Drosophila melanogaster: one gene and its partners. Changing the gene in region 1 together with any one later gene gives a genetic interaction. Each region holds a gene or a part of one and is shown in the gene's direction. Other genes may lie near its edges.

Region 1 (3,836 bases):
ATAAACTGTGCAAAACGCAGACAGATTATTCATAGCCGTTCATATTATTTGGCTAGCGACAGTCTGAAAATTGCACAGATAGCATTTCGGTCTAAATTGGCTACAATAGATAAGAGAAGCTAAAAAAAAAGAATAAATTTTACTCTGCACCCAGATAATTTAGAAACGTAGATATTAAGGTTGTAAGTAATAGCAACTATGTTTGCTCACAAAGGGTTAATAAACTGGTATTTAATAAAAAGCCGCGAAACTTAAGTATAGTTCAATACTTTGCGTATTTTTTCGCGCCTAAATATTCATTTATATTCATATGATCATTCACAGGATTTTTAATGTAAATGTAAGTATTTATGGTTACATATGTCACCTATGTCCGCTCCAAAAGGTATAGGGCAACTGGTTTGGCAGCCTGCCATGCAGCAACAACAAACAATACAGATTCGCACTCTTTCTCTCCACGTGAGTGAAACTCTCTCTCGCTGGTTGAGATTGGCTGATGCAACACTTGCCACACGTTGCAACAGCTGTTTTAGTCTGGCCCAGCTGATTCGTATTGTTGGCTTGTTGCCAGAGACTGCGAAAATCTCTTGGCAACATGTTGCCACAACTTTTGGAAAACTCATAGTGTTGTTAAACATGTTGGGCGAAATTTTCACACCGGTGCAGGGCAAAAAGGGGGTGGCTTAAACTGTAGCTGGCTGGCTGGCTTAAATTAGCCGGCCGATGATTCATTTTGGGGGTTGTCCACTTACATAAGATGAGCTCACCCAATGTGAAAACTCTTTAGTCGCTGGAAGAAACTGCGCATTTCGACACAGAAAAGCCTAAACAAGCAGAACGAACATTTGTTTTGTAGATTTATAATTTTTCAAAACATACAATCGCATTGCACTTTGCGATTGGCCTTGACACCCTGACGTGGTTCCATTTGGCGACACTGTTCCTGCTTTTATCTTCTCCATGGCGCAAGATAAAATCAGAAAGTACAACGTGTTGATCACCTAATGGCCAGAGTCATGCAAACCAAACTCTTGGTGATTTAAATCTATTTCCATGTCTGTCACAAAAGAATACTGCTTATTATTATATGGCGGGTTATAATTTACCAAAGTACACAAAATGTTACAATACAATACAGTTGAATATATACTAGTTAAATGTACATATGTTTTATAACAGCTCATTGGCTGTGTTTTAATGGTTTATAAATGTAAAGTGTTTTTAAAGCATTTTAAATTTCAAATGAAACATTTTTTTTGTGGAAGTGCTGTTTTTTATACTGTTCAGATATATCTCACTGATATTTATGATGATTCTTTAATCGTATGACTGTACAGTACCCTCACACTTTAGTTCTCTGTATGGTGTGTTGACTGTAGTCAAACCGCTCCCAAAGAAAGTCGGGCAAAGTGAATGTACCTAGGCGCGCTCCCGCTGAGCATTTGTTGTGTTGATGAGATTAAAACTGGAACTGGGAATGGAATTGAATGCGTCTTAAACGGAGAACGGAGAAATGAGAGGCTTTGTGGACACTTAAAAGTATGCGGCTCTCTTGAGCCGTACTTCAGTACGCTGACGTCGACTGAAGAATCGCTTTGTTCTGCGCTCTCAAATATATTTAATTTGGATTTGGAACTGGATTTATGTCAACATGCAATTTCTGCAGTGGATTTTTACACTATGGCTAATTGCTGGTTGCTCCGCTGGCCCGCAGAATGTCCTGCTGCTTCTGGCTGACGATGCCGGCTTCGAATCGGGCGCCTATCTGAACAAATTCTGCCAAACTCCCAATCTGGACGCACTGGCAAAACGCGGATTGCTTTTCAACAACGCCTTCACCTCGGTAAGCAGTTGCAGTCCCAGTCGCTCGCAGTTGCTCACCGGCCAGGCTGGTCACTCCAGCGGAATGTATGGACTCCATCAGGGCGTGCACAACTTCAATGTTCTTCCGGATACCGGATCGCTGCCCAATTTAATCCGTGATCAAAGTGGCGGACGGATCTTGAGCGGCATCATTGGCAAGAAACATGTTGGGGCCGCCAACAATTTCCGTTTCGATTTCGAGCAAACAGAGGAGCAGCATTCCATCAACCAGATTGGCAGAAACATCACCCGGATGAAGGAGTATGCCAGGCAGTTTCTCAAGCAGGCCAAGGACGAAAAGAAACCCTTCTTCCTGATGGTCGGCTTCCATGATCCCCATCGTTGTGGCCACATCACCCCGCAGTTTGGAGAATTCTGTGAGCGTTGGGGCAGCGGAGAGGAGGGAATGGGCAGCATACCCGACTGGAAGCCCATCTACTACGATTGGCGTAACCTGGACGTGCCCGCCTGGCTGCCCGACACGGATGTAGTGCGTCAGGAGCTGGCTGCTCAGTACATGACCATCTCGAGGTTGGATCAGGGAGTTGGTCTAATGCTGAAGGAGCTAGAAGCAGCCGGCGTGGCAGATCAGACACTCGTGATCTACACCTCCGACAATGGACCACCGTTTCCCGGAGGCAGAACCAATCTCTACGAGCACGGCATACGATCGCCCCTGATCATTAGCTCTCCCAATAAGGAGGATCGTCATCATGAAGCCACTGCTGCCATGGTCAGTCTTTTGGATATATACCCCAGTGTAATGGATGCTCTTCAGATTCCCCGACCGAATGACACCAAAATCGTTGGCAGATCGATACTCCCAGTACTGCGGGAGGAACCTCCGATCAAGGAGAGCGATTCGGTGTTCGGTAGTCACAGTTACCACGAGGTGACCATGGCCTATCCCATGAGAATGGTGCGCAATAGGCGCTACAAGCTTATCCATAATATCAACTACTGGGCAGACTTCCCCATCGACCAGGACTTTTACACTTCACCCACATTCCAGCAGATATTGAATGCCACTCTCAGGAAGCAAACTCTGCCATGGTATCGTTCCTTGTTGCAGTACTACCAGCGACCCGAATGGGAGCTGTACGACATTAAGACGGATCCCTTGGAGCGTTTCAATCTGGCCGATAAGGCCAAGTACAATGGCACCCTGAAGCAGTTACGCGAGCAACTGTTCGACTGGCAGGTAGCCACCAAGGATCCCTGGCGATGTGCTCCGCACGCTGTGCTCCAGGAGCAGGGCGTCTACAAGGATCAGCCCGTCTGTCTGACCTTGGGCCACGAGGCGTTGCAGCGGCCCAAGCGCAGGATTCTCGGTCAGTATGAGGAGTATGTGGTCTTCTCGTAGGTCTGACTAAGAGTATTCAATAGATTGGGTGTGTTGTCTTATCGCATGTCCAATGGTTGATAACTCAACCATGCCAATGTTTTTCACTTCACATGCCGTTACAGTTGCGGTCATACAAATAGGAATTGCAAAAGGTAGAAATGATAATATTATATTAATGTATATTCTTATTAAAATAATAAAAAAAAAGTAACATACAATACTTTCAATAATAAACTTTGTTTAACTTTGAAGCGAGCTGCTAATCTTTAAGCATGGCTAATAAAAAGATCAATGTTTTCAAAAGCAATGGTAATCATAAGAATTAAGCATTTGTTTAGAGTATGTACATATGTATGTTCTTTGAACAAATTTCCAAGTTTACATTAAGGGAAAACTTTAATTGCTTTTTACAAACAAACAGATAAAAATATATTGCCTTGATTTTCACCTGCGCAATGCCAAAAAAATAGCCAACAGAATTGGCAAAGAAAGAAGACTGAAGATTCCCCCACTGACTGAATTGGTTGCATCAGCCCAGACTGGCAAACACTCGTGTCCTGGCAGCATGACCTCACCCACTTTTTGGACTGGAGGCGTGGGCATCAGGGGTTGGATGCTGCGTCACGTT
Region 2 (3,836 bases), 1.3 Mb from region 1:
AATTATGCTGACATGCTGATGCGGTAGCACAGGATTATGCTCCCCTGGTACGAAATCTACCACGAAAGAATGTGTACGAGTATGTGACGGACGTATACACGTGTCGCCTGAGTACACACACTGAAATCTGTCGAGTGTGCGAGATGCTGCCACTCTCACAAGGGCGAAATCAAAGACACAGGACCGCGATTTCGTGTGTGTGTACGTGTGTGCGTGTGTGTGTGGGACGCGACCTTGAGCAGAAGTAGCGCACTTAATGCAGCCGCAAGAGCAACCCCTAAATTGCCAGCAGCCGCAAACAGTGGTGTTCACGATAATAAAATCACAGCAACGAACTACATATACTTATTAATGTAATAATAATTATTTTCTTTAAAAATAATACGAATCTCAAACTTAACTAATAAGAATTCACTGAAAGAAGCCAAAAAATATGCTATGATGTCCTATGCTTCCTAAATATATTCCCGAAAGGGTAGAAATCTATAATTTGAAATGCGCTGTCCCCCCAAATTTTAAACCTGATACCTTTTCAACATCAGGATTCGTATTTAAATATGAAAATTAATAACTTGTGCTACATTTCTAGCCGCAACTGTGAGTTAAACCCACCGGGGTGGGTGCATCAATGTAAAGACGTAGTAATGCCGCTCCCGCTGGCCGTTCTGTTCGCCTGGTGCACTAAGGTTGCTCCTAGTTACGACGTAACTGTTAACCGGTTTGGCCCGTCGGCAGCGCTGCTCCTGCATGTTACCGTTATGTAATGGCCTCGACAATGGTAACGTGAAAGAACCCATCCCACTCGGTGGGTGGGCCAGCGGGGCAGGCCGTACGCTTTACTCCGCCCCGTAGATCACGCCCTAGTGGGGTGACATGCGCAATGGCATCGAGTGGCGTTGGGTTGCCCACTGCGATTCCTGGTCGCCTGGTAATCCTTGGGCGTTACCTTAAGAAGGGTTAAACCGCTGATGGACACGTGTCTGTCGAGTTGAATGTGCTGCCGCTGCTGCTGCTGCTGAGGTTCTTGGCCGCGTTCTTGGCAAAAATCACAAAGAGCCAGTCCGGCGGTGCCGTACTCGTTTTGGGCGCCACCCAGTGCCCGTACTCGCTAATTGAAACGCTCCGCGGGACTCGGAGGTTGCCGGTGCCTGTGACCCACCCACTTGGGCGGGCAGAATCGCGACCTGCCATCCACAGGGGCGTAGTCCGTGCCATCGTGTTCCTGTGCCAGTGGTTGTCAGTGCTGCATAAGTTCTGGCTGGAAAGTAGACAGATGAAGTAAATTTGATTACTTTTTAATATAGTGGTATGTACATTTTATAAACAGATAATTTTAAATTCCACAAGTTTTGTATTAAGATTTCTCAAAATAATTATTCATGTAAAATTGATTTGATTTTAAATAAACCTTCTCATTATTTGTTTTATTAGGTTTTTAAATAGCCAAATCATCAGCACTAGGGGTTGCACAGCCATCGAAACCCACCCCTAAAGCAAGGAATGGCAATGTCAAGCGACACACCCCTCGCGCACGCACAGACACACGCACACATGGACAGGCAACGAGTCCTTTCGATTTCATTACGTTCATTATGTGAGGGGTGTCCTCTGAATCACACATTCCACACTCCTCCTGAAATTGATGTGCGCCTGGTATTAGACCTCAAGCGGAATTTCCTTTCGTTTGATTGTAAGTTGTGGGAACGTGCAACAGCATGTGTGATGAAATTCAATTATTAAAATATTACTATCTTACCATCTATTATTACCATCTTATTATTGAATACAATAACTAAATATTTTTGTATAAGTTAAGTAACTTTTTACTTTTGTTAATTACCAGTTTTATTATTATTATTTATAACTAGATACAAAGAAAACAGCGATAATTAAGCTTATCTCGATAGTTATTACCAGCGATTACAAATTTTCCAATTGGTTTTAACAAACAGTCCATCCCTCTTATAATCTATTTTAACGATTTAAGGCATGTTTCAAGGCTTTTAATATGCAAAAATGCACAAAAACAACAAATAAAATTACTAATCCGTTTCATACAAAGAACAGCTGACAAAAAAAAACGACCGAAACCTAACGGTAAATAATTCAAAAGATTAGGGAATACCCCAAATGGTATTTACTTTTAGACCGTGTGGTATTTTCTATCGTTATCGGCGCGGTCATACTGGTAACGTATTGGTTACTATTATAAAATATTTGGCAATCTCGTTCTACTCGCTGGCGGCCAAATAGCTGCAGAATGTTTGAGCAGCTGGCCTGAGAGCTAGTGCCGGCTGCCCGAGCCTAGTACCCCGGACGTCCAGAACATCTTGAAGCTCCAAACGCACCGCACGCACATCTGGCAGCCGATTGTAAACAAACTCGGGATATGGTAATTAGATGATGCCGATTTGGAGTGTGCGAATCATGCAAAAACTAGTTTTCAGAGCCGCGCCGGTTGTTGAACTCTTGACACTTGACTGGTAATAGATTATCGCCCGCGGGTTCAATAGGAATCGGAGAATCGGTCGAGTCAGCAGCACCGGGCATTCAAACCGAGAGAGCCAACGAAACGCGCCACATGTACGCCTATAATAAGATGGGTCGGGTTCCAGAGCTTGTTATATGGTGAGAACCCAACGAAGTTGAAAATCAAATTAAACTAATCCCGCCCTTAAAATCTGAACAGCTCCTTCATAGTGGTCACCCTGCTTGTCATACACTTCTTCTCGGATCTGCTGAGAGCCTCCCTAGGCGGCTACTACAACCAGGATGTTACACTTTCCCAGCTGGTTGAGTCGCAGAACTCGGACTACGCATGGTTCCTTAAGCTGCTGGTCAATTGCTTTGGTTATAGCTGCGTCTTTGTGCCGGGCTTCTTGATCTACAAATATGTCGGCAGGATTAACTACCTGGAAAGAGGCAACAAGACATTCCTGCACAAGGCTATCAATATGTGTATCACGGGTAACTCTGGATACGATCAGTTGGATGCAGGGACCAGCACCGCGGATAAGGATCGTCCGGCAGCCTCTACGGCACCAAAGCGAACGAGTTCCCAGGAGGCCGTGCAACTATTATGGTGCTTTGGCGGCCTGATGATCTCCTATCTTACCTGGGGTGTACTGCAGGAGAAGATAATGACTCAAAACTATCTGAACTTCACTGGAGAAAGTGCCAAGTTTAAGGACTCTCAGTTCCTGGTGTTTTCCAATCGTCTGCTGGCCTTTCTCGTGGCGCTGGCCTATCTACAATGGCAGCCCTCACCTGTGCGACACCGTGCACCTCTGTACAAATACTCCTATGCCTCCTTCTCGAATATAATGAGCGCATGGTTCCAGTACGAGGCCCTGAAGTTTGTCAACTTTCCCACCCAGGTGCTGGCCAAATCGTGTAAGATTATACCCGTTATGCTGATGGGCAAAATCATGTCTAAGGCAAAGTACGAGAGTTACGAGTATGTGACGGCCCTGCTCATATCGCTGGGCATGATCTTCTTCATGAGCGGCTCCTCGGACAGCAGCAAGGCCAGCGGAGTGACCACGCTCACGGGCATTTTCCTGCTCTCCATGTACATGGTCTTCGACAGCTTCACTGCCAATTGGCAGGGATCGCTCTTCAAGAGCTACGGCATGACTCCGTTGCAGATGATGTGCGGCGTCAACCTGTTTTCCTCCATTTTCACTGGAGCCTCGCTGTCCATGCAGGGAGGATTCATGGACTCCTTGGCATTTGCTACAGAGGTAAATATATATAAAGATATCAAGCTCTCAATTTATGATGATATCCATTTTAATCAAAATAACGTAGCATGTTCTGAAATTGAAAGAATATTT
Region 3 (3,600 bases), on another chromosome or scaffold:
TGGAACAGCGAGCTGCTGATCCCGGTATGTTTTGCTCAATTTAAATCCGTTTCATTCAATTCCAAAATCGAGTTGTTAAAGTATTGTTCTCCAAACACTCGACTTGGGAATAGAACTTTGAGAAAGTCATCTGATTGTAATCTTTGGGATTATCTTGCAGAAATTATTTACAACTCACAAAATGCACACCAGCAACAGCAGCAACAACAGCAGCAGCAGCAGCAGCAGACACTGTCAAACAATTCCAATCAGTACAGGTGAGCACAACATTAAAATGATTCATTCAATGCGTGTCTTAAACATTTATTTTCGTATTTTCCAGTAGTGGCAGTCCGTACTACGTAACCAATCAAAGCTCTGGAGTGGCCACACCACAGACGCATGTGGAAGGAAGCGCAGCGAGCGGCGGCGGCGGAGGCGGCGGGGTTGGAGCTCTGCTTGCGCTAAAGAGGAACCATGTGATGGGCGGCGGGGCATCGCAGCATACGCTGCATCAGCAGCAGGCCGTGGCCCAGCAACAGCATTCAGAGATTATCTACGAGGAGTTGCCGACCGACTACAGCGGCCACATTGAGGCCAGCGAGGAGGAGTGCGTCACCACTGCCACCGATGCCACCGTGGCCAAGCGACCCAAGTATGTGTCGGAAGTGCTCTGATGCGTGCGGATCCAGAAGCACCGGCAGAACAAGGGCAAATAGTGAGGCCCATGGGTGTAAACGATTAGAAAGCAAAAACAAAAAAGTATCTCCATCTTGTATATTGAATTTGCCAATCAAAAACCTATACCTAAACCCCGAAATACAAATCAAATTAAATAGCCACACACGCAGAACTTAAGGAACATGAACGCACGCGAAGAGCAATGTATATGTAAATTGATATGGAACATTTTACAAATAGCAACTGTGAGATGATTGTGTTTGAAATGTTGGCCATGCAGCCGTTCAACGGCGGCGACTTATGCAAGCACACATTTTGAAAATTCGAAAACCCGATTCGAAGTAACGACTTTATCCCCTAGATCTGACGAATTCAATATGCTCGATGACGCTACTCTCTAAGTAATATAATAAATTTTAAGTTTACAACAAGGTAAAGCAGCAAACAAAGCAAAATTATCTAGATATATGCGATTGATTATTGTAATGATTGATGATTATGATGTTTAAGATGTTATAGCTATGTGACCGAATTGTGCGAGAAACGTGAAAAAAAATTTGGGGAAAATTAAGTAACAAGCAAGCAAACCACACAAGTAACAAACAAACAAACAAACAGGCGAATGAATAATATTACCTATCTACATACCTTTACCTATATCGATTTAAATATAATATATATATATATGTGTATATATATATATGTATATCTATATTAATATATATACAAATTATTAAAATACAAACAAAAACAAAAATGATGAAAATAAATAAGTAATATCTACAAATTTACGGATACAATAACAATATATAAAGATTGAAATGATAGCACATTATTTCTTATTAATGAAGAAAATCCCATTTAAGTGTTTGGACAAATTGTGTATTAAAAAAAAAAACAAAAATCAAATGTAAACTTTCTTGTTTCAATTTGTTAATATTTACCTGCTTTAATTGAATTAGATAGATGAATGAATACTAGTTGATACTAGTCAACAGGAGCGCAATCAAGTCTGGGCATTTATTGGGGAATTCCTGGATTCGTTTTTTATTTATACAAAACAAAGTAAATTGAATAGTTCCCGCCACTGTCATTGGAATAAATGGAAGGCTTCCAAGTGAACCACCCGTTCGTTGAACAGCTCAAAAAATTCAACGCCATTTGTGCAGTAAAATTGTTCCGTTTTCAAATTTTGTAATTTGTAGCTTTTATCCTTAAAAATGTAAATAAATGTCCCAATAAAACATGAGCTTGAAATATTACAAAGAAAAAATGCTTCCAGTAACGGCATAATAGTGTGAACGAAACTTTTGCACAACTGAACACTAACAGTAAAAGTTCCGCATGTATTTCTAAGCTGCTCTGCTACGGTCACACCATAGAAGATACCTGGAAAGTTCTCAACTTTTTTCGTTTTGATAAATTGATTAATTCATTCGAAATGGTGGTTAAAGCTGTCTGCGTAATTAACGGCGATGCCAAGGGCACGGTTTTCTTCGAACAGGAGGTGAGAATCCAAAATCATTTGAACTTCTCTGCTCGGCAAAATGTACGAAAAACAGAAGTTCTAAAGGTCAAATAGCCGGCTGCACCCGCGGCCCCCTCTTCCACTTCAATATGCTGCTTTAAATTCTGTCGAGCATTTTAATTAAGTCCGATTTGAGTTTACGCCTAGTCACCCAGCAAGTGCACCTTTATATTTATATAAGCCGCACCAAAATGCGCATATGTGTGTGCGCTCAAGTGCCTACAGCAAAGGTCACGAAATTGGTACTGGACATAAAAAGGAGTTAAGATATAAAGCTCACTTGTTCGTAAAGTATCGTTAAATATCAACAAATATTTGTTTTAGAATAAGCATTAGGAATATGGGAATAATTAGAATGATGCTGTTCATAATTAATTTGTACATCAAAGTCAAAGCAGCAATGTCAAGTGTCAAGTAAACGATTATAAACTTGATGATTACAGGTTATGTTTCAGTGCCGAGGAAATTTATGTTTTTAATCTATAAAGATAACCAAATGTTTACTTTGCTGCCTATAAATATTTCCGTTTAACGTGTGTCTATTAACAAATGTTATTTTCTATAATAACCTATTATCATATGAAGTTGGCCACGCTCGTTATCATAATCAGTGCTTCTGCTCACTATTATACACAACTTGTGTCTTATCAGTATTCGAGTATTATCTGAAGCGTTATAACCCAATCCCTTCATCCCGTCCACAGAGCAGCGGTACGCCCGTGAAGGTCTCCGGTGAGGTGTGCGGCCTGGCCAAGGGTCTGCACGGATTCCACGTGCACGAGTTCGGTGACAACACCAATGGCTGCATGTCGTCCGGACCGCACTTCAATCCGTATGGCAAGGAGCATGGCGCTCCCGTCGACGAGAATCGTCACCTGGGCGATCTGGGCAACATTGAGGCCACCGGCGACTGCCCCACCAAGGTCAACATCACCGACTCCAAGATTACGCTCTTCGGCGCCGACAGCATCATCGGACGCACCGTTGTCGTGCACGCCGATGCCGATGATCTTGGCCAGGGTGGACACGAGCTGAGCAAGTCAACGGGCAACGCTGGTGCCCGCATCGGGTGCGGCGTTATTGGCATTGCCAAGGTCTAAGCGATAATCTATTCCGATGTCGGCCACTGTGCTGATCTACTCTATTTAGCACTACCCACTGGAGATATACAAACGATATACATACTTCTAAACATAAATACATAGCCTGTGGTCTGTTAGTTGATACGCAACCTTTGAGGTTCAATAAATTGGTGTTTTGAAATTGCCCCATAAACAAAAGTTATAGTTTTCATTTGAGTTGAGATGGTAAGAATGAATATATCACTTGTTGCTCGACGAATTCGCAAGTAGAATCGGGTTATAGATTCGTATGAAATGAATTACATATTAGATGAGTGCAGAACCCAAAAA

The links.
Region 2: of Sgsh (region 1) and sll, changing one enhances a phenotype caused by changing the other (phenotypic enhancement), as found in Drosophila melanogaster (one study listed by BioGRID).
Region 3: of Sgsh (region 1) and Sod1, changing one enhances a phenotype caused by changing the other (phenotypic enhancement), as found in Drosophila melanogaster (one study listed by BioGRID).

The regions. Positions count from the first base shown.
Region 1 is NT_033777.3:18,910,650-18,914,485, reverse strand, and holds Sgsh (N-sulfoglucosamine sulfohydrolase), read left to right. Parts: upstream 1-1,563; 5' UTR 1,564-1,651; coding exon 1,652-3,226; 3' UTR 3,227-3,433; downstream 3,434-3,836.
Region 2 is NT_033777.3:17,603,938-17,607,773, forward strand, and holds the start of sll (slalom), read left to right. Parts: upstream 1-2,168; 5' UTR 2,169-2,392; intron 2,393-2,440; exon of another isoform or gene 2,441-2,447; 5' UTR 2,448-2,581; coding exon 2,582-2,628; intron 2,629-2,689; coding exon 2,690-3,743; intron 3,744-3,836. UniProt on the Drosophila melanogaster protein: Mediates the transport of adenosine 3'-phospho 5'-phosphosulfate (PAPS), from cytosol into Golgi. PAPS is a universal sulfuryl donor for sulfation events that take place in the Golgi.
Region 3 is NT_037436.4:11,112,141-11,115,740, reverse strand, and holds Sod1 (superoxide dismutase 1), read left to right. Parts: upstream 1-2,000; 5' UTR 2,001-2,101; coding exon 2,102-2,167; intron 2,168-2,892; coding exon 2,893-3,288; 3' UTR 3,289-3,460; downstream 3,461-3,600. Other genes in the region: FoxK (forkhead box K), read left to right, coding at 1-24, 161-257, 323-656. UniProt on the Drosophila melanogaster protein: Destroys radicals which are normally produced within the cells and which are toxic to biological systems.